Callithrix jacchus: one gene and its partners. The protein of the gene in region 1 purifies or fractionates together with the protein of each later gene. This does not show direct contact. Links are inferred from orthologs where the notes say so. Each region holds a gene or a part of one and is shown in the gene's direction. Other genes may lie near its edges. The genes, in order: CTBP1, WDCP, AMPD2, DYRK1A, MECOM, THAP11 and EHMT2.

Region 1 (3,985 bases):
ACTGAGGCTGGCTGGGGGAATCCAGGCCTCTGGCATCCTCACCAAGGTAACTCTTGAGCAGCTCCCAGACAGCCCATTGTGTAGGGCAAACACCAGGAGCCCCTCCTGTGTGCAGGTACATGGCAGGCTCAACCATGGCCAGAGGGCAGGCACATGCTCGGCCAAACCCTAGAGGGTGGTGGGCATCTGCTCATCACAGGGGAGGACGGGAGGTGGGAGAGGCAGGTGGGCCTGTGGGGGTTGGGACGAGCTGTGCACATGGCTTGGCACACCCAAAGCTGAGGTTTCTCCTTGGGCAACACAGTCACATGTGAGTGTAGGAATCTCGGCTGGAGTTGCCCAACGTGGGGAGCAGACAGCACTGTAGCCAAAACCGCAGCTGGAGAATGCAGTGCTTGGAACAAGCCAAGCCATTGGGACGGGGCTGGGGCCAAGTAGACATGATAATGCACTAACGAGCAGTGCGGGGGGTAGGCTGTGGAGCGTGATCCTGGGGGAGACGCTGGATCCCTGGCTGGCCTGCATTGCTCTCCAGAGCTTTTAGCTGCCTGTGGAATTCCAGGTGCTCTGCTCCAGCTACTTTCAACGTATAAGCAGGAAGTGGATGCTGGAGAGGAACTGCTCTTCTGGACTGAGCTTGCTGCTCATGGCAGCCCCACCTACAGGGCCCAAAGCCTTATTGATGTTCCTTGCACCTTCCACCACGTGGCTGCCTCTTGAGCTCTGCAAGTGCACCACAGAGCCAGGAATTTCTCCCCAAAAGCCTCTCCATTTTACCCACGACCCCCCAGTAAATCACAACCTGAGAATAGAGTGTCTGCGACCCCCCTGTCCCCAGCTCCCCTGGGGGCAGGGGTTGGCACATCCCTGTGCCCGGCCACTTGCTGCCTCCTCCTGGGCTGCTGGTCCATGCCCAGTGGACAGGAAAGCCCAGCGAGGTCCCTGCCTGTGCACCCCGCCAACCACACTGTCCCCTCCCGGCAGCCTCACCTAGGCCCCTCCAGTGGCGGCCCCTTGTCCCCTGCACCCATGCCTGGCCTTGGAAGTTGCTGCTCACTTTTCTGGAATATTCTTTTCTTAGATCTCTGCAGGACTGTCCCTACCCCTACAAGGGCTCCACACATGTTCCCTCCTTCATGACTCCCACTGGGCTTCCCCGGCAGAGCCCCATGTCTCCAAAGCTCTGGTGACACCTGCCAGGCTTCCTCCAGGCCACAGCTCCGCAGCGCGCGTCTGAAAGAGAATAGGAAGTGGCCCGCAGGGCAGGCTGGCTGAGGGCCCCAGCACTGTCAGCGGGGTCTGAGGTCCTCCCAGCCCTGAAGGGGAAACTGGAGCTTCTCAGGCCAGCCCAGGACGCGTCCTCAGGAACCACAGCAGGTGCCTGGCAGCGGAGAGGAGTCTGCGTCTTTCAGGATCCATACTGTTGTATCCGAAACTATGCAAACACTTCGGGGTGCTCAGAGTAGCCCCGCAGAGGCCCTCCCCACGGGGCGGAGGGAAGCGTCCACTCGCTATCCCTGGGCCCTTGGAGAGTCCGCAGAGGCAGCCCCTGGGGGAGCAGGCCGGGGTCTGGACGTCTCCTGCAGCGGGCGGGGCTTTGCTATTAATCCTTAACCCAAATTATGGAAAGAGGAGCTGAGCTGCCAGGACGCCGGTCGGCTACAAACCCCACTCTTGTTAAAGACAGAGGGGGTCGGGGAGGGGGTTCTCCGGCCCTGAGCTTCCCGGGCCTGGCAGAACGCGGCCCCTCCGGGAGTCCGGGTCCCCGGGCGGGGGAGGCACCGGGGCGAGCGCGCTTCTCCCGGGGCCCCGAGTGCGGCCGGCTCTCGGACGGTAAATTCAGGGCCCGGGTGGAGGCGACGGGGTCCCGCGGCCTCGGTGACCCTGGACAGCAGCGGGAAGAGCGGGACCGCAAGGACAGGCTCCCCGGGGGCGCACGGACCCCGCCGCGCACCGGCTGCAGGGCCAGGCCGCGGGCCGAGGCGCGAACGCGGGAGGCGGCGGCCGGAGGGGCGGGAAGGGAGCGGGGCGGCCCCGGCGCGGAGGAGCGCCATTTACGTTCCGGCCCGCGCCGGGCGCTGACGTGGGCGGCCCGGCCCGGCCGGCGGCGCAGTCCCGCAGGGGCCTCGGGGTGGACGGCCCGACCCTGCCCGTCTTCCTCGGGGACGGGCGGTTTAGAACGTACAGAACTCCGGGCCCCGGGGCTCCGCCGGGCTGCAACCCCGACCAGCTTCCCGCCGGGCTCCCGCCCCGCCCCGCGGCCGCGCCCCGGCCGGGCGGGCCCTGAGCCGCCCGCGTGAGTCCGCCCGCCGCCCGCGCCGGGAACCAGGAGACCAACCGCGAGGCCCCGCCCGCGCGCGCCGCCGTGTCCCCGCCCGCGCGGTCGTCCGAGCGCGGCTCAGCGGCGCGGCGGAGACTCGGCACGGCGGCGGCCAGGCGCAGGCGGGCGGGCGGAGCAGCGGACGGCGCCGAGGCCGCCCCAAGCGCCGGGCTCGCGGCGGCAGAGCGCGCCGGAGTGGTCGGGGCCCGCGGCCGCCCGCGCCTCTCGATGGGCAGCTCGCACTTGCTCAACAAGGGCCTGCCGCTGGGTAAGGCCGCGCGCGCGCGCGTTTCCGGCCGCGGGCGGGGGCGGGGCGGGGCGGAGGCCGCGCGGGCGGGGGACGCGGGGGCGGGTTGAGCGCGCGCCCGCAGGCCGCCGGCTTTGTGTGCGAGTGCGCGTGCGCGCTAGCGCCCGCGCGTAGCCGCGACCGGGGGCGGGACCGCGGGAGGGGTGGTGCGCATGCGCGGACGGCTGCGTACCGGTGCGCGTGCGCGAGCGCCGCTGTCCGCCCGCCCCGCCCGCGGCCCGCGCAGGTGACACAAAGGGGCCTGCGGGCCTCTTGGCTGCCCCGCGGGATCCCCCGGCTCCACTGGCCCTAGGCCCTGGGGACCCGGGACGGCCCCCTGAGTCCCGATCCCCGGCCGCGACCCAGTCCCCAGTCATGACCCCGCGGCTGGGCCTGCGGGGCTGAGGTGTGGGGTGCGCCCTGCGCAGCTCGGGACGTCCTGGGGCGCGCTCCCTGGGCCACTCGCGGGAGCGCGCCCCGCCCGCCCGGAGACCGCCGGCTACGGTGGCGGCGCGCTGTGGGGAAAGAGGACGGGCCCCGGGCGCCTGGTCTGACCGCGGAGGAGGCCGCCACCCTGAGACCGGGCCCAAAGCGCAGCCCCCGGCTGTGACGCGGGAGGGCCCGGGGGTCTCCGTCCCCGCGAAGTCCCGGACCCGCCCGGCGCCCCCACCTGCTCGTGCCTGGTGCCGCCCTGGTCCTCGGGCGCCTTCCCCGCGGGCTGCGGAAGCAGGGAGCTTGGGCGGGAGCCGGGCCCGCAGGCATCGCCATCTTGCAGTGCCCGCGTTCTGGGCCGGCCCGGGCCGCTCCGCGGAGCGTCTGCCCCCACCTCCGACTCGGCTGCAAAGGCAGAGCCCGTGCGCCTGAGCCGCGGGCCGGGGCCGGAGCCCTGCTGCTCTAGTCTGTGTGATTGCCCGGACAGAATCCCTTCCAGTGGGGAAGAGGGAGGGCGGGCGCGCTGTTCCCGGTGCTCCGAGCTGGGGAGGGGAACCCTGAGAGCCGGGGTTACAGGGCCCGGCGTCTGGCCGAGGCGGCGGGTGCGCAGGGTGCCCCGTCCAGCTCCGTGGAGCACGGGCCCCCCGAGTCCTCTCCACCGTTTGCGAAGGAGCTCGGCAAGGGGCGCACGTTCCTCAGGGAAAGAAAGGCGCTGGCGGCTGGGCCCGCACCTCGGCTGTCCCCGCTGAGCTAGCGCGGTGACCCCGGCCTTCCCGGCCTTTCCCGGCCAGGGGGTGGCCTCTGCGCGTCCGCGTCTCCAGCTGCGACTTGGGACGGTGTTGGGGCAGCACCGTGGGGAACTATTTGCCGTTGCAGCTGAGGATGACAGCTGCGGTTTGTGGGACCCCTTTCTCTGTCCTGGAACCTCGTTGGGCGTGGCTCTGCCC
Region 2 (4,230 bases), on another chromosome or scaffold:
AGTCCTCAGACTATGGTGTAGAAAGGGAGTGAATATGAGATTGGGAACGAGATTGAAGGCAGGGAGGAGAGATTGAAGACGGGGAGACCACTTCAGGGGCTGCTGGAGATGACAAGGCCTCAGGGAGATGCTTTCTGAGACCCAGCACCAAGGTTTCCTGCATGGGCAAAGAAGCCTGTACCCCAGGGGAGATCCGAGGTAGTGGTTGGGATTGGACAAGGAAGATGGCCTGGAGCCAAGAAGTCCCCCAATTTCCTCAGGAGGGGAGCTGTTCATATTAATATCTGATAAGAAGTTTGCCCATCAAACCCTGCAGACAATGTGGGCTTTGGTATGAATTAAATTTCAAGAAATAAAGAAATGACTATTCCTTGCATACCCAGGCCCAATAATACAAGGGCTTGGGAAAATGAGACACAGAACAGGAGTAAGAAGGATCACTCAGAGGAAAAGGTTGGAAGCGTGAGTTCTGTTTTGAACTTGCTGACGAGGGCACACCCTGGGACGTCCAGGGAGAGGTCTGGCAGGTCGGAGGGCTGGGCTTAGAAGCTTCAATGTGGAGGCCATGGGAGTGGACAGGGTGGCCAGGGAGTCTGAATGCGGCGGGAGGATAAAGCGAGGTGCGGAAGCGAGCAAGGGAGCGCTTCCCCCTTCCAGCTTGGGTCTGTCCCCACAGCCGCTCACAGCGGGCCCTCGGGGGCCCGACGGGAGGCCAGGCGGGGGACGCGCTAGGAGGAAGTCCCGAGCAGCGGAGACCGGAGAGCAGGTCTTCCCTGGTTTCCAGAGCTCGCTGAGCAGGGCAAGGAAAGAGAAGCAGAAACCCAGCCTTGGGTATCTGCAGCAGCGGAAAACCGAGCGGTTGCAGCCGCGACAGCATCAGCCCCGGGCGGTGGTGGGCCGCAGACCCCCGCCTCCGGGCTATAGACCCCCGCCTCCGGGACGCAGACCCCCACCTCCGGGCCGCAGACCTCACCTCCGGGCTGCCGCCTACATTCCCAAAGGTGAGCGCGGAAGAGGATGGTGGAGGACGGTCTCTTAGACCCCCAAGAATCCCGTCCGGGGTCTCCGCCAGCCTTCCCCACCCAGTCCCCCCAACCCTTCGGCACCCTCCGCGCCACCTCCGAATCAGACCCCCGCCCGCCGGGCTCCGCCCCGGGACCACTCCCCTCCCCTGGCTCCGGAGGGAGCCCGGTACCGTCTCCAGGGGAGATGGTCTCGATCTCCACGCCCATAGCGGTCCCACAGGCCCCGCCTCCGGGGGGTCCCTGCTGCTGCCCGACCCCGGCTCGGCTCCGGCCCCGGCCCCGTAGTCGCTCCCGCTCGCCTCCCCGCCGCCACTGCAGAGCCGGAGGAGGTGCGGCTGGAGTCGGGACCTGCGCGGGGAGGGGCCACTGGGAAGGGGGCGGCGGGGCGGAGCCGCGCGGAAAGGTGGGGTCGGCCGGGGCGGGGCCCGGGGGAAGGGACCCGCCCGGTTGTTTGCGAGCCTAGCCCCGCTGACGACAATAATCCACTGACCGGGAAGCGTGGTGAGCACCCCCTCATCCTCCATCTATCCGTTCATTAGCCCATCCGTCCAAAACACATTTATTTAGCATCGAATCTGTGCTAAGCTCTGGGGAGTTAACCCGGTCCTACAGACTTGTGGGGGGTGAGGGAGAGGAGAGGCAAAGGCCGACAATTAAACCATCACTTTATTTTTATTTTTATTTAGAGAGAGGATCTTATTCTGTCGCCCAGACTGGAGTGCAGTGGCGTGATCATTAGCTCACAGCAACCTCGAACTCTAACTCTCAAGCGATCCTTCTGCGTCAACCTCCCTAGTAGCTGGGACTAGAGGGGCGAGCAACCACGCCCAGCTAATTTTTTATTTTTTGTAGAATCAGGGTCTCGCTGTGTTACTATCTAATGAAACCATCACTCTAAGTAGATGCGCTCAGTACCCTGCAGTTCAGAGCGTTGCGGAAGCACCAGAGAGGTTCCTACTCTGGCTAGGCGTCCTGGATCTGCAGGAGCAGAGCTGGGGGAGGGAGGGAGGACATCAGTCCTTGCTGACTCTTCCCCTACACCCCTAAACCCCTGTTCTCCATCTCGCGTAGTTCTGCTCCACGCACATTTATTGGGTACTCAATTTTCAAGGCAAAGAAATGCACCCTGGGGATACCAATTGAATTAAGACAGGATGGCTGTCTTCCAGGTACTAAGTCCGAGAGGGGCGGGCATACACATTTACCGCGTGGAGTGATTAGGACAGTGGAGTGAATGAATGAATATGTAAATGAATTCTACTTTGAGTTCCTCCTTTACCTAAATACACATTCAAGAATGTAGAAAAATATTTTCTGGAGGAGGTAACATTTGTTTGAAGGGTAATTAGGACTTTTAAAACTTTCCCCCCCTCATTATTATCTGCATTGTTCCAAAAATTGATGTGAGGCCGGGCAAATCAATTTTTGAAACAATGGCTCACACCTGTAATCTCAACACTGGGAGATCAAGACAGGAGGATTGCTTGAGCCCAGGAGTTCGAGACCAGTGTGAGCAACAAAGAGAGATCCCGTCTCTATTTTTTTTTTTTTTTGGAGACAGAATCTCACTCTGTCACCAGGCTAGAGTGCAGTGGCACAGTCTCAGCTCACTGCAACCTCTGCCTCTCGTCTCGTGTCTCAGCCTCCCAAGTAGCTGGGATTACAGGCATGAGCCACCACATCTGGCTGTCATATTTTTAGTAGAGGCAGGGTTTCACCATGTTGGCCAGGCTGGTCTTGAACTCCTAAACTCAGGTTATCCACCCGCCTCAGCCTCCCAAAGCGCTGGGATTATAGGCATACCGTTTTTATTTTTTAAAAAAAGAAAAGAAAAACATAAACAAAAACTGATGTGAAGGTATGATTCTGCTAAGTGGCACTGGAAGATAGGCATGGGGAAAAAAAACCTGGCAGACGGGCCCAGTATGAGCCCCAAGGGTGTTCTTCCTCCATTTCCCGACTCCCACTCTCCTGTATGCTTAGGTCCCAGATGAGGTTGTCTGCATCCCTGAAGGAGGACGGGCTGTGTTGTTCAAGAAAGACGATGGTTAACTGTACTGTGAAGGTCATGACCTGGAATTTCTCATGGGCTGCTCCGAGATATGGCCCAGAGTCTTCCAAGAGTGTAGCTGGTCTACAGAAGCCTCAGGAACGCACTAAGCCTAAGGGATGCACCAGAGCAGGCACGCTTAGGGTCGGTGTAGAACAAGGATTTGTAGCCGGGACAGTCCCATGAAGCAGCTTCAGTTGAATGCACAATATTTTGGGTACAGATAAGAACATTTTCCTGGAGAGATTTTATCAGAATCTAAAGAAGGTTAAGAACCCGTGTTGATCCTAGGGCTCCTGAATGCCTTAGACAAGAGAACCAAAGAGAAGCGGGGGAGGAGCTCAAGTGCTTTGGGGAAGAAAAAATGTGGCGGGCTTGCGGTCGGTGGTTTCATGGGAACTACTACTCCCAGCGATCCGTGAGGCAGAGCCAGAGCTTATTGGCCAGTGGGACAAACCCTCTCCTAACGTGCACATTCAAAAGCCAATAGACGGGGCCATCGCGGAGCGTGCACGGCCACCGCTCACCTATCAGAGGTCTGAGAGCCGGTGCTTCCGGTGACTGCCCAAAGCTTCTGATCTGCGGCGGCGTGATATTGGGCTGCCTCAGGGAAGCTGGTGTTTTTGTGAGGCAGTGAGACCTAAGGTATTTTGTCTCCACTGCTGCCGGGCCTGGCGGATGTGGGGAGGCTGTAGGGGGTCAGGAGGGAAGTGGACCGGAGCGGGGGTGGGGGGGTAGGTGGGATGGGGGATGGGGGTCTGGAGGGAGGGAGGACATTCAGGAGTGCGCAGAGCATGAGGAGAATGGGGCGGGCCGCGTGTGAGGGGTCGCGGAATGAGGACCGCGCTGGGTGTGGGTGTAAACGAGCGAATATGACTGTGACTCGTGAATAATACTCCTGGGAATGTGTTCCAAGGAAGTCATCCAAAGTCAGGAAATGGGCTTTAAGCATTAAGACCTCGGTCACAGCGTTATTTATAGCGGGGTAAAGTTGGATACAGCCAGGAGCTGTTCAGTACCTTGTCACTTCACTGAGTGTTGAAGTGGGCTCTAAAACTAATTTATAAAACGTTTAAATAACATGGGGAAATGCTAATTATATAATGCTAGGTGAAAATCGTGATACAAAGTTGCACACCATGACTGAAAAATATT
Region 3 (3,500 bases), on another chromosome or scaffold:
GCTGGGCTTGCTCTCTTCACCAAGCTCCCTTCCATGCCAGTTGCTTAGAGGTGGAGCTGCCATACCCCGACCTGCAGGAATTTGTGGCTGACGTCAATGTGCTCATGGCCCTGATTATCAATGGCCCCATGTGAGTCCCCTGACACCCCAGACACTTAGCTCGCCTCCCAGCCCAGATTCTCCAGCCCCAACTCTGCCCCAGACTCCTGCCACCTGGTGTCCTGCCCTTCCTAGTTGCTGAGCCCTAGACTTCTACTGCCCTCTTGGCAGCCTCCCTCCTTACCGTCCCACCTGCTCCCTCCTCACCCTCCCACCTGCTCCCTCCTCACTCTCCCACCTGCTCCCTCCTCACCCTCCCACCTGCTCCCTCCTCACCCTCCCACCTGCTCCCTCCTCACTCTCCTACCTGCTCCCTCCTTACCCTCCCACCTCCTCTCTCCTTACCCTCCCACCTGCTCCCTCCTCACCCTCCCACCTCCTCCCTCCTCACCCTCCCACCTCCTCCTTACCCTCCCACCTGCTCCCTCCTCACCTTCCCACCTGCTCCCTCCTCACCCTCCCACCTGCTCTCTCCTCACCCTCCCACCTGCTCCCTCCTCACCCTCCCACCTGCTCCCTCCTCACTCTCCCACCTGCTCCCTCCTTACCCTCCCACCTCCTCTCTCCTCACCCTCCCACCTGCTCCCTCCTCACCATCCCACCTGCTCCCTCCTCACCCTCCCACCTGCTCCCTCCTCACCCTCCCACCTGCTCCCTCCTCACCCTCCCACCTCCTCCTTACCCTCCCACCTGCTCCCTCCTCACCTTCCCACCTGCTCTCTCCTCACCCTCCCACCTGCTCCCTCCTCACCCTCCCACCTGCTCCCTCCTCACTCTCCCACCTGCTCCCTCCTTACCCTCCCACCTCCTCCCTCCTCACCCTCCCACCTGCTCCCTCCTCACCCTCCCACCTGCTCCCTCCTCACCTTCCCACCTGCTCCCTCCTCACCCTCCCACCTGCTCTCTCCTCACCCTCCCACCTGCTCCCTCCTCACCCTCCCACCTGCTCCCTCCTCACTCTCCCACCTGCTCCCTCCTCACCCTCCCACCTCCTCTCTCCTCACCCTCCCACCTGCTCCCTCCTCACCCTCCCACCTGCTCCCTCCTCACCTTCCCACCTGCTCCCTCCTCACCCTCCCACCTGCTCTCTCCTCACCCTCCCACCTGCTCCCTCCTCACCCTCCCACCTGCTCCCTCCTCACCTTCCCACCTGCTCCCTCCTCACCCTCCCACCTGCTCCCTCCTCACCCTCCCACCTGCTCCCTCCTCACCCTCCCACCTGCTCCCTCCTCACTCTCCCACCTGCTCCCTCCTCACCCTCCCACCTGCTCCCTCCTCACCCTCCCACCTGCTCCCTCCTCACCATCCCACCTGCTCCCTCCTCACCCTCCCACCTGCTCCCTCCTCACCCTCCCACCTGCTCCCTCCTCACCCTCCCACCTCCTCCCTCCTCACCCTCCCACCTCCTCCTCACCCTCCCACCTGCTCCCTCCTCACCCTCCCACCTGCTCCCTCCTCACCCTCCCACCTCCTCCTCACCCTCCCACCTGCTCCCTCCTCACCCTCCCACCTGCTCCCTCCTCACCCTCCCACCTGCTCCCTCCTCACCCTCCCACCTGCTCCCTCCTCACCTTCCCACCTGCTCCCTCCTCACCCTCCCACCTGCTCTCTCCTCACCCTCCCACCTGCTCCCTCCTCACCCTCCCACCTGCTCCCTCCTCACTCTCCCACCTGCTCCCTCCTCACCCTCCCACCTCCTCTCTCCTCACCCTCCCACCTGCTCCCTCCTCACCATCCCACCTGCTCCCTCCTCACCCTCCCACCTGCTCTCTCCTCACCCTCCCACCTGCTCCCTCCTCACCCTCCCACCTCCTCCCTCCTCACCCTCCCACCTCCTCCTTACCCTCCCACCTGCTCCCTCCTCACCCTCCCACCTGCTCCCTCCTCACCCTCCCACCTGCTCTCTCCTCACCCTCCCACCTGCTCCCTCCTCACCCTCCCACCTGCTCCCTCCTCACCCTCCCACCTGCTCCCTCCTCACCCTCCCACCTCCTCTCTCCTCACCCTCCCACCTGCTCCCTCCTCACCCTCCCACCTGCTCCCTCCTCACCCTCCCACCTGCTCCCTCCTCACTCTCCCACCTGCTCCCTCCTTACCCTCCCACCTGCTCCCTCCTTACCCTCCCACCTGCTCCCTTCTAACCCTCCCACTTGCTCCCGAAGAGCTGCTACCAGGGCCCTCCCCAGGTGCCTCCCTTCAGGGCCTAAGTCCCTGCCTTGTTCTCCTCATGCCCAGAAAGTCATTCTGCTACCGCCGGCTGCAGTACCTGAGCTCCAAGTTCCAGATGCACGTGCTACTCAATGAGATGAAGGAGCTGGCCGCCCAGAAGAAAGTGCCACACCGAGATTTCTACAACATCCGCAAGGTGGGCCCTCAGCCCATGGTCCTCTCCATGTCCTGGTCCCACACCCTTGCCCAGCCTCCTCTTCAAGGGCCAGGCCCCCCACGCAGCATCCAGGACAGAGGGTGCCTTCCCATCGCACTACCCTGGGCCCCAGACCTTCCCAGCCTCCGGTGTACCAGCAGCGCCCTGTTCCACCCCAGGTGGACACCCACATCCACGCCTCATCCTGCATGAACCAGAAGCACCTGCTGCGCTTCATCAAGAGGGCGATGAAGCGGCACCTGGAGGAGATCGTGCACGTGGAGCAGGGCCGTGAGCAGACGCTGCGGGAGGTCTTCGAGAGCATGAACCTCACGGCCTACGACCTGAGTGTGGACACGCTGGATGTGCATGCGGTCTGTGCCAGTGTTGTGGGCTGTGGGACTGAGTCAGCCAGGGGACCAGGAGTCAGGGGTGACCTGAGCCTGCCCGTGTCCCCCAGGACAGGAACACTTTCCATCGCTTTGACAAGTTTAATGCCAAATACAACCCTATTGGGGAGTCCGTTCTCCGAGAGATCTTCATCAAGACGGACAACAGGGTATCTGGGAAGTACTTTGCTCACATCATCAAGGTGAGGAGGCAGCCTTCCCTGCCAAGCCTCGAGCCTGAGGATCTGGGGGCTTTTGTGGGGTGAGATTCTAGGAGGGTGGGCAGATGGCCCCTGAAGAGCTCTGACTCAGCTCACCTCATGTCTAGGAGGTGATGTCGGACCTGGAGGAGAGCAAATACCAGAATGCAGAGCTTCGGCTCTCCATTTATGGGCGCTCGAGGGATGAGTGGGACAAGCTGGCGCGCTGGGCCGTCATGCACCGCGTGCACTCCCCCAACGTGCGCTGGCTGGTGCAGGTGCCCCGCCTCTTGTGAGTGTCCCTTGGAATGGGAAGAGAACTGTGGGGCCATGTTCAACGGTCAGGGCCTGCCTCCTGCCCTCCTGGGATGATTAAGCCTCCCTTGTCCCTGCCAACTCCTCTGAGTATGAGGAAGGGCTTCTTAGTCCCACCCATGGTCTGTCCAG
Region 4 (3,500 bases), on another chromosome or scaffold:
TTTCAATATATAATGATATAGCTTTGGAGTATACATTTGAACAAAATGAATTTTAAACTCACACTTGTATTATTTTGTGTTGTGATGTTTCAGGTGGCTCATCGGGGACGAGCAACAGTGGGAGAGCCCGGTCAGATCCGACGCACCAGCATCGGCACAGCGGCGGGCACTTCACAGCTGCTGTGCAGGCCATGGACTGCGAGACACACAGTCCCCAGGTGAGCTCGCACGTGGTTCATTTGCTTGTGTCACCTGCCGTGCTCAGGTGGAGCAGCACTGGATGCCAGGTGCCTTTAGAATGACTGTTTCATTTACCCTAAAGGTTCATGACAGTCTCATGTCTAAGGAAATGTCAGTATTTATCACAGAGAAGCACATTGGTGCAGTTCTCTTCCTCTTTGTCTAGAAGTGGCTAACCCTCACTGGGGGCATAGCAGTTGTTTCGAACAGTTTTTCCTTTGTTTATCTCACTTACCAAAGCAGCATTTTGAGCCTCATGCTTTTTTGATTCCCATTTTACAGTGGAAACTGAGATGTTGTGGGTGGAGTACATTTTCGTGGGTCATGATCTTCATGACTCGACTCTGCTTCCTCCCATGATTTTTTAGCATGTGTAGCCCTGGATTCTGAATCAATTTCTGGTTTGATGTTAGCCCCTGTTTCTTGTTGTTGTTTTTTGTTTTTAAACCTGTTGAAGAAGAGGATCCAATTAAGTACTCTGAAAATCTGAGTGAAGCAGATGGTGATGGCACAAATATTTCTATAACCTAATAAAGTTGTAAGTTTGTTCATGCTGAGTTTTGCTTGATGGTGAGAGGCCAGTGTAGTGTTTTGTGGATGAGTAAAACTGCTGTTGATTCCATTCTTGCGACTCGGGCAGCTGAATGGTGCTGGAGAAAGTCCCACATGCAGCTGTTTGTCGTACTGTTCATGTTCACCAGCCTCTGCTGGGCAGTCCTACGTGTTTCCCAAGTTGTCCCATCGTCCCTTATTCTAATAATTGTTTCAGACTTTTCTACTCTTAGAAACTTTGCCCCCCGCCCCCCTTCTCTGTCGTCAGCCACTCTTTGCTTTGTAAGGAAGAGTCTTCAGGCATGAACTCCTTTTACTTTGTAGCATTGAATACATGGTCCTGCCTACATGGCGCTGTCCACTTCTCCTCTACCCCTTTTTTGTTAGAAGCAATGTGTTTGTTTTTGCCTAAGGCCAAGCCCACTCAGTGCCCTGACCCCCTCTCTCCTGCTTTCATGGGGCCTTTGCCCTTTGGTCTTCCTCGGTTCCTGTGTCCTCAGCCTCTCCTCTTTTGGCTCTTTGTGTTAATCAGCATTTCCTCATTCTCAGGCCGTTTCCATCTTAAGTCGTACCTTTGTGTGTCCCCTGTCTTTCTTTCCCTACACTTCTTCTACCTGTGGTGTCTTTGCCTCTACTCTGAAGACCTCCTTGCTTATTCTACTTACGTCCTGCCTTCCAGCTCTCCTGTCAGGGTCAGTGGTGACCTTTATTCATGAGTCCACTGGACACCCTAATGCTGTCTTTCTGCATTCTACAGCTTCATTTGGCAATGTTGACTTTTCCCCTCTTTGAAATACTCACTGCTGGTTTCCTTGGCAGGATGTTCTCCTGTCTCTTTGGGTTTTTTTCTTCTACCCACCTATGAAACCTTGTTGTTCCTCGAGGCGTGACCTGTGTCCTTGTACTGCTCCCCTTAACGTTTCCTTGATGATTTCAGCCACTCCTGCCAGGGCCTGCAGTCACCATCTTTATGCCAGTTTTTCCTGAGTCTCAACTTCTGATTAGACTTCACTTCTGAACCCTAGGGCCTTTCTAATTGTTTACTATAAATGTCACCTTGAAAGTCTCGACAATGTGCAGTGGTAAAATTGCACATAAGCGGATGTCATTTTCACTTCCTTCTCAACTCTTCGACTTCTACCATTCTTTGTAAAAATGGCCCTAAATTTACACATTTGTTCAAGTCATAAATCTGGGGGCACTCCTCTCTCCCTCTTTCCCCACGCTGAATCAGACAGTAGATGATCTGGATTCACCGCATCTTAATACATTTTTATTCTCTGCCTTTCACTTTAACTCATTGTTATGACTTGTCTTACTGGAAAGAGTCCTCTAACCAGTCTTCCAGTGTCTGATTCCATTCACCTGCCAGCACCATTCTTTTCCCTGTAGGCAAGTGAGCTTTCGCTAAAACAGTCTGTTGTTGCTATTTTCCCTCCTTTTGTTTTGAGACGGAGTCTTGCCCCGTCACGCAGGTTGGAGTGCAATGGCACGATCTTGGCTCACTGCAACCTCCACCTCCTGGGTTTAAGTGATTCTCCTGCCTCAGCCTCCTGAGTAGCTGTGTTTACAGACATGCATCACTAAACCTGGCTAATTTTTATATTTTTAGTAGAGACAGGGTTTTGCCATGTTGGTCAGGCTGGTCTTGAACTCTTGACCTCAGGTGATTCACCCACCTTGGCCTCCTGAAGTGCTGGGATTACAGGGATGAGCCACTGTGCCCAGCCTATTTTCCCTGCTTTAAGCCAGTTTTGACTTGCCCTTATAGCTAAAACGAGATGTCGACCTCTTACCGTGGCGTCGGTGCTTTCCGGGATCTGGTTCCCACCCAGGCCATTTTTTCTCCTTGACTCTAGTCACACTGGTTTATTGTTCGGTTTTTGTAATATGCCACATTCTCTGTCACTTCTCTCACATTTCCTGTGCTCTCAGCCTGGAACACTTTTCCTCCTCCTTTTGCTTTGGTAACTACTGTTTATCCTTCGAGTCTTAAGTATCACTATTCCCAGGGGCTTCCCCTGAATCTTTATTCGTCTGTCCTTTCTTCCAAATCTGTTTTATATCACAAACACATACAGGAGTGCAAAGGGTAGGATAAGATACCATGTTCCTCCCACCTGGATTTCACAGAGGTCAGGATATTGCTTCAAATCCTTTTTTATTAACTTTTGAGTGGTTGATATAGTCACACGGTTTTAAAAATAAGCAAATAAAAAAGAATTCAGTGAAAGGTTTTCCTTCCATGCCTTCTAGCCCCTCAGTTTCTAAACCACTGTTATTAGTTATTAGTTTTTTGTATACTTTTTGAGATATTTTATGCATATATATAAGCAGATAGAAACACATATTCTTCATCCACCCTTTGTTCACTAATGGAACCACACCAGGCATCCTGTCTTCCAAACATCTTGGTTTTTCTAGTCTTACCATACATTTTGGAGCACTGTCTGTATCAGTACATAGTGAGCTTTTTCATTCTTTTTTTTTTTTTTTTTGCATAGTATTCCGTTTAGATATTTCATAAGTCTCTTCACCATTCACCTGTTGTTTGTTTATTTTTAGAGCTAGAGTCTTGCTCTGTCACCCAGGCTGGAGAGCAGTGGTGTGATCACGGCTCACTGCAGCTTTTGGCATCTGGGCTCAAGCAGTCCGTGCCAACCACCCCCCAGCCTCCTCAGTAATTAGGCCTACAATTGTGTCCCATC
Region 5 (3,412 bases), on another chromosome or scaffold:
TAACTCTTTCAGAATATTCTTTATCTTGTTCTCTAAAAGTAGGTACATAATCAGAATCGATAATTTAGGTTCAATGCTCACTTAGCCCATACTTTAAACTCTGCCAAAGATAAGAACTCTATATTATTTATTTTTAATTCCTCAGGATCTAACACAGAGCCTGGCACAGAGTAGATGCTTAAGAAATATTTGTTAAATGGATCGTGGGATATTGTAGAGGTCCAAAAGGCAAACTCCATACACAAAAGTCAAATGTGTACATTTAGAGCGATGACCCAGCAAATCAAAATCAGCCTGCAAGGGCAGATTTTCTAACTGAATGCAGTGATTACGAAGAAACCACAGACTGGCCACATGTCTCAGCATGACTCCCAGAGATGAAATTCTGCCTAACAACAGAGGCATTTTGTCTTTGTTTACAGACAGTGGAATGTCTTTGGCAGGACTTTAATGATTCCACTTCAGCAGCATTTTGACAAGCAAGTTTAGCAATGGATGAGACCAACAATAGCAAATCAACAGTGAAAAGTTCACGCACAAGTCAAGACCAAACATTTCATTTGAATATTTTGCTTGGCAGTAAATGGGGGATTCTCTGAACAGTTATTTAAAATTTGACATGATAATAGGGAAGAAAGAGCAGTTCCTCACAGAGCACCTCTATGCACCTTCTGCTCAGCAGACACTAGAAAATAAGTTGATTAAAACATTTGTTGGGTCTTGTGTTTTGTTTTATTTTTTTGGTAGAGCTGATTTGATCCACCTTAACTTTGGGTATCAGCACTGAGCATGTCAAGCATTAAGGGAAATTGGAGAAAAGACACTGGATTAAAAGTTGGGCAGAAATACACTTTAGTTATGCTTCGCCCACTATCTAATTGAGTGACTTTGGGCAAGTCACTCAAGCGACTTCAGTGCTTTTGGTTATAAAGTGTAGGAGTCAGGCTGTATCATCTACGAGGCCACAGCTCTGTCAAGGTAGGTCTATATCCTATTAATATTTGCAGTTCAGTCATAAGCACACAATAATATTTTTGATGAATTGAACATATGTAGTAGATGGATGGCTGTATTTATGGTTGGACAGGAGAATTACTCATTTTTCTCAATGGAGGCACACTATTTGCATTTTAGATAGGATAGTTAATTTTTTGTTTGGGAGGGTATGTCACTTTTGGGGCCTCTAGGCACTAAAGGCCAACAGTAATCCCATGTCATTTCTACAAAAAAATATGCTATGCCTCCTTTGCCAAACACACCCACGAAGGATACCCCTACTCAGGGTCCCATCCCTTTCCATTTGCCACCAATATTCTTTGAACCAAAAGGGATGATTTTCAAATGCCATTTACTGAGTCTCTTTCCTTTTTACCCCAGGCATATGCTATGATGCTGTCATTGTCTGACAAGGAGTCCCTCCATTCTACATCCCACAGTTCTTCCAACGTGTGGCACAGTATGGCCAGAGCTGCGGCGGAATCCAGTGCTATCCAGTCCATAAGCCACGTATGACGTTACCAAGGTTGACCACAGTGGGACCAAGTCCAACAGTAGCATGGCTCTTTCATATAGGACTATTTACAAGACTGCTGAGCAGAATGCCTTATAAACCTGCAGGGTCACTCATCTAAAGTCTAGTGACCTTAAACTGAATGATTTAAAAAAGAAAGAAAAAAGAAACTATTTATTCTCGATATTTTGTTTTGCACAGCAAAGGCAGCTGCTGACTTCTGGAAGATCAATCAGTGCGACTTACAGTGATTCAATGAAAATAAAAAACTTGCTGGGCTGAAGGCATCTTCCAGTTTACCCCACCTTAGGGTATGGGTGGGTGAGAGGGGCAGTTGAGATGGCAGCGTTGATACGAATGAACACTCCATAGAAACTGAATTCTTTTTTTTTTGTACAAGATCACCTGACATGATTGGGAACAGTTGCTTTTAATTACAGATTTAATTTTTTTCTTCGTTAAAGTTTTATGTAATTTAACCCTTTGAAGACAGAAGTAGTTGGATGAAATGCACAGTCAATTGTTATAGAAACTGATAACAGGGAGTTCTTGTTCCCCCTTTTGCCTTCCTAAGTACATTGTTGAAAACTAGGGAAAAAGGGTATGTGTATATTGTAAACTATGGATGTTCACACTCAAAGAGGTTAAGTCAGTGAAGTAACCTGTTCATCACCAGTACCGCTGTACCACTAATAAATTGTTTGGCAAATCCTTGTAATAACATCTTAATTTTAGACAATCATGTCGCTGTTTTTTAATGTTTATTTTTTTGTGTGTGTTGCGTGTATCATGTATTTATTTGTTGGCAAACTATTGTTTGTTGATTAAAATAGCACTGTTCCAGTCAGCCACTACTTTATGACGTCTGAGGCACACCCCTTTCTGAATTTCAAGGACCAAGGTGACCCGACCTGTGTATGAGAGTGCCAAATGGTGTTTGGCTTTTCTTAACATTCCTTTCTTTGTTGTTGTTTTGTTTTCCTTCTTAATGAACTAAATACGAATAGATGCAACTTAGTTTTTGTAATACTGAAATCGATTCAATTGTATAAACGATTATAATTTCTTTCATGGAAGCATGATTCTTCTGATTAAAAGCTGTACTCCATATTTTATGCTGGTTGTCTGCAAGCTTGTGCGATGTTATGTTCATGTTAATCCTATTTGTAAAATGAAGTGTTCCCAACTTTATGTTAAAAGAGAGAAGGAAATAACAGACTGTATTCAGTTATTTTTCCCCTTTATTGAGGAACCAGATTTTTTTTCTTTTTGTTTGTAATCTCATTTTGAAATAATCGGCAAGTTGAGGTACTTTCTTCAAATGCTTTGTACAATATAAACTGTTATGCCTTTCAGTGCATTACTATGGGAGGAGCAACTAAAAAATAAAGACTTACAAAAAGGAGTATTTTTCCCCACTGTGTGGTATTTTCCCTTCATGCAATTTTCCTTTCCCTTTGGGATCCAATGATTTAAATATATGATGGCTGGGATCTTGATGTCCTAACAGATATGTGAAATCCAGAGCATATTTGTTTTGTTTTGAGATAGCCTAAGTGATAGTTCTTGGGCAATAGTGAGTCTTCTCATCGTTCAGAACTTTCCGCATGTTTTGCAGTTGGGGCTTAAGTGCCGCTGCCCAGTCCTGGTATCGCTTCATGTTCACAGTATCCACTTAAATCAGGACAAAGAGGGACTTACAGGTTTTCTGCAGATTGTATGCCAAAAGGAACTCAGATTCTTATTTTTGTATTTCATTATGTGTCAAATGATTCACAAAGGGGGGGAAACCTTTGACTTTTCTATGCTCCTTTTAAGTTTTTGTCCATATGCAAAATATCCTTTGTTCATTGTTATAACCAGAGTCTAAACATGATTTGTTTTTTCTTTCTTTGCTCATGG
Region 6 (3,523 bases), on another chromosome or scaffold:
TAGTTTGCAGGTAATTCCCCTGGAGAACTGCCTAGGTCCTCCCGGCTTTCCACAACCTTTCTTGTTCTTTACAACATTTTCCTCCAAAGAAGGTGAGGTAGGGTGGAGGTGTCTCGTTACAATGCAAATCCTGTCGCGTAAAATCCTTTAACGGCTCTCAGTGGCCTGCAGAATAAAACCCTAAATCCTTAGCTTGTCCCAGTTTGGTATTTTCCTACGCTTCGACTACCAGGGCCACCCCCTTCCAGGCTCTTTAAGGGCGGAGCCTAGCTCTTTTCTGCCTTGTGGCCTTAGACTGGTTCCCGGGACAAGAACTGGCTATTTCTCTCTACCCAAGCTTTCGGTCGTTTTTTATTCCTGGCCCTCCCTGCCCCTGTATTTCTCTGCTCTCCTGTTCATTCCTTTGGAGCGTTTACTTTCTGTGATCCATTTGCGTGCCTTCACATCTGTAAAAGACAGACCCTCATCCTTCTATGTAGTTGGGCTCCAAGAGAGGAGCCCAGTCAGTCTGGCCACCGGAAACTCTCTGCACTGTGTCAGTCACACAGTAGGCGTCTACTGGTGACTTTGTTTAGGTGAGTAAGTGAGGAAACGCAGGCAGCAGCTGAATCAGGAGAGAGTCCCCAACGCAAAGAAAAGAGCTCCTGAGACCTTTCGGGGCGCCGAGGCCCAGGTTTCGTCTCCCTCTGCTGCAGTAATGCCGTCGACTCAAAAGGCGCTCGGGGCTGGGGGTGCTGCTTCTGGCAAACAGCACAACGTCGCCCGAATTCTGGTCCGCAGTAACTCGACCTTTCCCTTAGGCGGCGCTCCGGACCGCAGTTACGGAGTTCAGCGCGAGGCATCACGGGATTGGTAGTCTCCGTGGGCATACCCATGGCGATTGCGCACTGGCGAGGCGCGTACCGCCTAGCTCCACGCCCCTTTCAGGATTCGGGTCCTTGTGAGGAGCAGTCCAGGCGACAGCGTTCCAACCTAATACGCTTCTCTCGCCCGCCTCCGGGGACAAGCCGAGTTGAGGAAAGAATCTGCTCTTCGGAGGCTATCGCAGTGTCCTGAAAGGCGGCCGGAATCCACATACACCCGCCCCGGAAGTGAGCGGCTCCTGGCGCGGTGCATTGTGGGGGGCGTAGTCTCTTTCTCAGGCGGTCCTTCGCGGCGTCCCCGGGGCCGACTCCCGAGCGCAGGCGAGCAGCCAGGCGGGCGGCGCGGCGCGGGCCGACAGGAAGCATATTCTGGGCACGGGGCGCCGGGCGGGCCGGCTGCGTCTAGCGGCAGTGGTGGAATACTACCCAAAGCCTCGCGCGGCGCCGCCCGTCGAGGGGCGGGCGGCGGCGGAGCCACTTGGCCGTCGACGGGCGCAGGAGGCCGGTGGGCCGGGCCGGGCCTCGCGGCGCAGCCATGCCTGGCTTTACGTGCTGCGTGCCAGGCTGCTACAACAACTCGCACCGGGACAAGGCGCTGCACTTCTACACGTTTCCAAAGGACGCTGAGTTGCGGCGTCTCTGGCTCAAGAACGTGTCGCGTGCCGGCGTCAGTGGGTGCTTCTCCACCTTCCAGCCCACCACAGGCCACCGTCTCTGCAGCGTTCACTTCCAGGGCGGCCGCAAGACCTACACGGTACGCGTCCCCACCATCTTTCCGCTGCGCGGCGTTAATGAGCGCAAAGTAGCGCGCAGACCCGCTGGGGCCGCGGCCGCCCGCCGCAGGCAGCAGCAGCAGCAACAGCAGCAGCAACAGCAGCAGCAGCAGCAGCAGCAGCAGCAACAGCAGCAGTCGTCGTCACCCTCTTCCTCCACTGCCCAGACTGCCCAGCTGCAGCCGAACCTGGTGTCTGCTTCCGCGGCCGTGCTTCTCACCCTCCAGGCCGCTGTAGACAGCAGTCAGGCTCCCGGATCCGTGCCGCCGGCGCCCATTACTCCCACTGGAGAAGACGTGAAGCCCATCGACCTTACAGTGCAAGTGGAGTTTGCAGCCGCAGAGGGCGCAGCCGCTGCGGCCGCCGCCTCGGAGCTACAGGCTGCTACTGCAGGGCTGGAGGCTGCCGAATGCCCTATAGGCCCCCAGTTGGTGGTGGTAGGGGAAGAGGGCTTCCCTGATACTGGCTCCGACCATTCGTACTCCTTGTCGTCAGGCACCACGGAGGAGGAGCTCCTGCGCAAGCTGAATGAACAGCGGGACATCCTGGCGCTGATGGAAGTGAAGATGAAAGAGATGAAAGGCAACATTCGCCACCTGCGTCTCACCGAGGCCAAGCTGCGCGAAGAACTCCGCGAGAAGGATCGGCTGCTTGCCATGGCTGTCATCCGGAAGAAGCACGGAATGTGAACTGGTGCCCTGGCGGCCTGCTGGACTCCCAGACCCCATCCAGCCCAGAGGACTGCAGACCACTGTTGAACTCCTCTATACTCCTGGGGCACTGGTCGACAGTACTGAGGCTTCAGGCAACTGGACTCCCTTGCTGGTGACCTGGCACCCTCAGTTGTTTGCTCCTGAAGTGGAAGCTGGGGCCTTAGACTCTGCCCTGGTGACACCAGCAATTATGACTTTGTTTACCCTTCCTCCCCAGTTATTGTTGCAGATTCTGGTTAAGCAGAGGCTTCAAAACCATTGAACTTGAAACTTACCCTTTAGGGATGCAGGTGGGATGTCCAGGGACTATGGGTTTGGGAAAACCATACTTTAAGGTTGGTCAGCAGTCAGACAACTCTAATGTGTGTAGTGATAAGAGAGTCAAGTAACATCTCTTCTCCTCCTCTTCATGCTTTTCCTTCCCAGGTAGAGCCTGTGATTCTGATGGGGACTGGTAAATCTGTGCCTCTGCCTCCTAGGACTTCTTTCCCCAGCAGGCCATTTACAAGGGGATCTGGGTGACCTGCTGATGGAGGTCCAGCTTGCCAGGGACTTAGGTTTATCCCGTTTTGTTTGCTACTGGTTACAAATTCTATTTTCTGTACAATTAGTCAGACTAAAGTTTTCACTGTGTTTGTTTGGCAAAACAAATTAAACAAAAAGTAAGGTTTTTATTTGGGTCTCGCCATTTTATTTTTTACAAAAACATAGCTAAATGTCCTTGAAACATGGAGAAATAGGCCTCAGCCTATTTGAAAGACCAGGCTGATCCTGAAAGTAGAGATGCTTCAGTGACCAGATTTCTCCAAAAATGGGCCCTAAGCACATGGATCCTGGCCTTATAAAGTCCTCAAGAGTTCCTGGCTCAGCTCACCCTAAAGTGTTTGGAAACTGCACCAAATGGGCCCAGTTTGTCCATGGGTTATTCTCCCTGTGTCCTTTCAACAAGATGGAGCAACTGGTAACTAAGCTGTATTGTGACTGTTCACCTCTGAGGGTTTTGAATTCTCAGCTGGGATTGAATTTTGCTCACGGTAACATCCCTTAGGTTTAGCACAGCCTTTGGTACGCATGTGCATGCAGTTACTCTCTGAACCAGTGAGACCACAGCTGGAGCTAGCCAGGGCTGCTTCAGGCACAAGGAATCTTGTATAGATACCTTGGCCTTGGTACA
Region 7 (3,500 bases), on another chromosome or scaffold:
CCAGGATGGGCGATTGCTCCAGGAATTTAACAAGATTGAGCCCCCACTGATTTTCGAGTGTAACCAGGCATGTTCCTGCTGGAGAAACTGCAAGAACCGTGTTGTACAGAGTGGCATCAAGTGAGGCCCTGCTCCACAGCCCTCTCTCTCTCTCCCACCTCACCCTTTCCTCCCTGTCCCTCGGGCTTTTGGATGGAGGGCTCCATTCAACAATGCCCTCTCTCCTACCCCCAGGGTTCGGCTACAGCTCTACCGAACAGCCAAGATGGGCTGGGGGGTCCGCGCCCTGCAGACCATCCCACAGGGAACCTTCATCTGCGAGTAAGTCATCAGGGGCACCTTGACATCTGGTGGGAAGGGGACACACGCCCACTGCTGACTGCCACGCCTCCCTCTCAGCCCCCTGCCCTGATGGGTCACATGTCTCCATCTGGCCACTCTCCAGCCAGCCTTCTCTGACCCACATCCCCGAAGCTGAGGATGGCACCTGCCTCCACTCTGCCCAGACCAAAGAGCCTGAGTTCCCTCCCCTCCACCCTCTCCTCTCCCTTCCTAGCTAGGGAAAGTGCCAGTTTGGGAGACAAACAGACTTGGGTTTGAGCCCCTCTCTGCTTCTGGATGTCCTTGGCCAAGTTATTTAACCTCTTTCAGCCTTATTTTTCTTGTCTGTGGAGTGGAGGTGATAACAGCTACCTTTCTGTCCACCACCTCAGGGGTCTGTCCCTCTCCATCAGTTCTTTCTCTGCCCAGCATCTGTAATCTCCCCCTTTCTCCTAGCTCCTATCTCACAACCCTCAGTCTCACCTTGGTCTCCTTTGGCCTTTCTTTTTTTATTTTTTATTTTTTTTTTGAGGTGGAGTTTTGCTTTCAATGCCCAAGCTGAAGGGAGTGAATGGTGCGATCTCAGCTCACTGCAACCTCCACTTCCCAGGTTAAAGCATTCTCCTGCCTCAGCCTCCTGAGTAGCTAGGATTACAGGCACGTGCCACACACCCAGCTAATTTTTTGTGTTTTTAGTAGAAACGGGGTTTCACCATGTTAGCCAGACTGGTCTCGAACTCCTGACCTCAGATGATCAACCTCCCTCGATCTCCCAAAGTGCTGGGATTATAGGCATGAGCCACTGCACCTGGCCATCCTTTGGCCTTTAAAATATATAGTCTTCTAGCCCTACTTGCCTGTTCAAGAGACCATCCAGTTTCTCTCCATCATGTCATCTCAACTTCTTGGGCAAGCAGCTCCTTCCTGCTGGGCCTCAGTTTCCCCACCATCCACTCCAAAATTGGCCTTTGCCCTTCCCACTCTGTGGAAGCTGTCTCTTGACAGTCACTCCCCACCCCACGTCGTCTGCATGTGTCTCGATCTCCTGGCATCTGCTCACCCCTCCTTAGGCTGCTGACTCCTCTCCTCCCTCTGGTGTCCAGATGTAGGTGCTCTTGCCCTCCTCATGCCCTGAGCTCCTTGCCACTCCTCCATCTCCGGCTCTTCCTGCAGCCCTGAGCCCCTCCTGTCCTACATTGCCTGTTTTTGCTGGGTGGCTCCTAGTACACAAACCTCTGTGTCCAAACCCAAACTTCCCCACCCAGGCCAACTGCCCCTGCACACTAATTCCCTTAACCACAGAGCTTTGCATCTGTCGCTGTGCTGACTGGAGACTTCCTCTGTCGAGCCTGGAATGCTGCCATTTCCACCACTGCTGCTCCAGGCCTTCCCTCACCTACACCTGCCAGCCCTGCCTATTCCAGATTCCACGGGCTTATAAGGAGATAGGGGCCTGGAGCCACCTCCTAGTAGTCCACACAGCTTCAGAACCATGGATTCCTGTCCCACAGGTATGTCGGGGAGCTGATCTCTGATGCTGAGGCTGACGTGAGAGAGGATGATTCTTACCTCTTCGACTTAGACAACAAGGTGAGCAGGAAACCCTCCTTACCCTGCTGTTCCCCAGGGCTGGCTTTCAGGAGCCCCTGAGAAGTCAGCAAGTGGAAACCTGGGGAGGAGGGATTGGGGAGTCAGTGGGTGGGGAGGGTGATCAGGCAAGCAGGGTGTGGGGAGATGTGAAGAATGCCATCCTCCCCCCAGGATGGAGAGGTGTACTGCATTGATGCCCGTTACTATGGCAACATCAGCCGCTTCATTAACCACCTGTGTGACCCCAACATCATTCCCGTCCGGGTCTTCATGCTGCACCAAGACCTGCGATTTCCACGAATTGCCTTCTTCAGTTCCCGAGACATCCGGACTGGGGAGGAGCTAGGGTGAGACTCTAGGGGTCTTTAGGGACTCTGCCAGGGCTTCGAGATGCAGCAAACCTGGGACCTGAAGCCTGGTGTGTACCTGGTGTCCAGACAGGGATTAGTGCAGAGCTTCTCAGATTTCAGTGTACATAAGTATCTCCTGGAGGACTTGGTGAAACAGTCCTGAGCCTCCCAGAGAGAATCTGATTCGGTAGGTTTGGGATGGGGCCCAGGATTCTGCGTTTCTAGCAAGTCCCCAGACAGTGCTGGTGCTGCAAGTCCATAGAACATACAGGGGGCTCAGAGTCCATCTGGAGAACATGGGGTGGGTGCAGGGTCCCTCTTAGGGAGTGCGATCCACGGGGTCTTCGGGGTGGGCTCTCAGCTGGGTCCAGGTCCCACAAGCTCCTGTTTTCCTCTGACAGGTTTGACTATGGCGACCGCTTCTGGGACATCAAAAGCAAATACTTCACCTGCCAGTGTGGCTCTGAGAAGTGCAAGCACTCAGCCGAAGCCATTGCCCTAGAGCAGAGCCGTCTGGCCCGCCTGGACCCGCACCCTGAGCTGCTGCCCGAGCTCAGCTCCCTGCCCCCTGTCAACACCTGAGAATGGACCACACCCTCCCTCCCCAGCATAGGCCACAGCTCAGTCGCCTCCTCTGTCACCAGCTGCTCGCAGCCCATGCCTGGGGTGCTGCCATCTTCTCTCCCCGCCACCCCTTCACACATTCCTGAACAGAGACCCCAGCCAGGCCCTGGAGGTCTGACAGCCCCTCCCTCCCAGAGCTGGTTCCTCCCTGGGAGGGCAGCTTCAGGGCCACCCCCCTGGTCCCCATCCTCAGTTGAAGTTTGATGAATTGAAATCGGGCCTCTATGCCAACTGGTTCCTTTTGTCTTCAATAAATGTTGGGTTTGGTAATAAACTGCGATTTTTGTGTTGGGGCGGGGAGGAAGCATACTCAGCCAGAGGGAGGGTGGGTTCAAGAGCCAGAAAGGGATGGAAAGCAGGCTGGATAGGTGTGGCTGATGTGACAGCCAGTGCAGGGTGCCAGTGGGGTGGGAGGTGTGTGGGTGGCCACCATGAAAATCCAGTGGAAGGATTATAAAGGGCCAATTTCCAGGCACAGTGGCTCACACCTGTAATCCCAGCACTTTGGGAGGCCGAGGCAGGTGAATTCACCTGAGGTCAGGAGTTCAAGACTAGCCTGGCCAACAAGGTGAAACCCCGTCTCTACTCAAAATACAAAAAATTCGCTGGGTGTGG

The links.
Region 2: the proteins of CTBP1 (region 1) and WDCP purify together in Homo sapiens (affinity purification with mass spectrometry; 3 studies listed by BioGRID and IntAct, counting the BioPlex papers as one, with this or other methods). This does not show direct contact. The link is inferred for Callithrix jacchus from reciprocal best matches to the Homo sapiens genes CTBP1 and WDCP.
Region 3: the proteins of CTBP1 (region 1) and AMPD2 purify together in Homo sapiens (affinity purification with mass spectrometry; 3 studies listed by BioGRID and IntAct, with this or other methods). This does not show direct contact. The link is inferred for Callithrix jacchus from reciprocal best matches to the Homo sapiens genes CTBP1 and AMPD2.
Region 4: the proteins of CTBP1 (region 1) and DYRK1A purify together in Homo sapiens (affinity purification with mass spectrometry; 4 studies listed by BioGRID and IntAct, with this or other methods). This does not show direct contact. The link is inferred for Callithrix jacchus from reciprocal best matches to the Homo sapiens genes CTBP1 and DYRK1A.
Region 5: the proteins of CTBP1 (region 1) and MECOM purify together in Homo sapiens (affinity purification with mass spectrometry; 6 studies listed by BioGRID and IntAct, counting the BioPlex papers as one, with this or other methods). This does not show direct contact. The link is inferred for Callithrix jacchus from reciprocal best matches to the Homo sapiens genes CTBP1 and MECOM.
Region 6: the proteins of CTBP1 (region 1) and THAP11 purify together in Homo sapiens (co-immunoprecipitation; 4 studies listed by BioGRID and IntAct, with this or other methods). This does not show direct contact. The link is inferred for Callithrix jacchus from reciprocal best matches to the Homo sapiens genes CTBP1 and THAP11.
Region 7: the proteins of CTBP1 (region 1) and EHMT2 purify together in Homo sapiens (affinity purification with mass spectrometry; 4 studies listed by BioGRID and IntAct, counting the BioPlex papers as one, with this or other methods). This does not show direct contact. The link is inferred for Callithrix jacchus from reciprocal best matches to the Homo sapiens genes CTBP1 and EHMT2.

What each region holds. Positions count from the first base shown.
Region 1 is NC_133504.1:191,923,913-191,927,897, forward strand, and holds the start of CTBP1 (C-terminal-binding protein 1), read left to right. Parts: upstream 1-1,185; 5' UTR 1,186-1,377; intron 1,378-1,381; exon of another isoform or gene 1,382-1,419; intron 1,420-1,631; exon of another isoform or gene 1,632-1,833; intron 1,834-2,373; exon of another isoform or gene 2,374-2,548; coding exon of another isoform or gene 2,549-2,588; intron 2,589-2,823; exon of another isoform or gene 2,824-3,985. UniProt on the Homo sapiens protein: Corepressor targeting diverse transcription regulators such as GLIS2 or BCL6. Has dehydrogenase activity. Involved in controlling the equilibrium between tubular and stacked structures in the Golgi complex.
Region 2 is NC_133515.1:91,202,616-91,206,845, forward strand, and holds the start of WDCP (WD repeat and coiled-coil-containing protein), read left to right. Parts: upstream 1-1,430; 5' UTR 1,431-1,526; intron 1,527-3,631; exon of another isoform or gene 3,632-3,720; intron 3,721-4,230. Other genes in the region: peptidyl-prolyl cis-trans isomerase FKBP1B, read right to left, coding at 974-1,232.
Region 3 is NC_133508.1:147,522,367-147,525,866, forward strand, and holds part of AMPD2 (AMP deaminase 2), read left to right. Parts: intron 1-40; coding exon 41-130; intron 131-2,334; coding exon 2,335-2,464; intron 2,465-2,643; coding exon 2,644-2,838; intron 2,839-2,924; coding exon 2,925-3,056; intron 3,057-3,181; coding exon 3,182-3,345; intron 3,346-3,500. UniProt on the Homo sapiens protein: AMP deaminase plays a critical role in energy metabolism. Catalyzes the deamination of AMP to IMP and plays an important role in the purine nucleotide cycle.
Region 4 is NC_133522.1:43,472,155-43,475,654, forward strand, and holds part of DYRK1A (dual specificity tyrosine-phosphorylation-regulated kinase 1A), read left to right. Parts: intron 1-93; coding exon 94-218; intron 219-3,500. UniProt on the Homo sapiens protein: Dual-specificity kinase which possesses both serine/threonine and tyrosine kinase activities. Exhibits a substrate preference for proline at position P+1 and arginine at position P-3.
Region 5 is NC_133518.1:17,955,799-17,959,210, forward strand, and holds the end of MECOM (histone-lysine N-methyltransferase MECOM), read left to right. Parts: intron 1-1,377; coding exon 1,378-1,512; 3' UTR 1,513-2,912; downstream 2,913-3,412.
Region 6 is NC_133521.1:25,372,943-25,376,465, forward strand, and holds THAP11 (THAP domain-containing protein 11), read left to right. Parts: upstream 1-1,163; 5' UTR 1,164-1,398; coding exon 1,399-2,325; 3' UTR 2,326-3,023; downstream 3,024-3,523. UniProt on the Homo sapiens protein: Transcription factor, which has both transcriptional activation and repression activities. Also modulates chromatin accessibility.
Region 7 is NC_133505.1:39,388,664-39,392,163, reverse strand, and holds the end of EHMT2 (histone-lysine N-methyltransferase EHMT2), read left to right. Parts: intron 1-4; coding exon 5-120; intron 121-234; coding exon 235-321; intron 322-1,832; coding exon 1,833-1,911; intron 1,912-2,082; coding exon 2,083-2,258; intron 2,259-2,662; coding exon 2,663-2,843; 3' UTR 2,844-3,159; downstream 3,160-3,500. UniProt on the Homo sapiens protein: Histone methyltransferase that specifically mono- and dimethylates 'Lys-9' of histone H3 (H3K9me1 and H3K9me2, respectively) in euchromatin.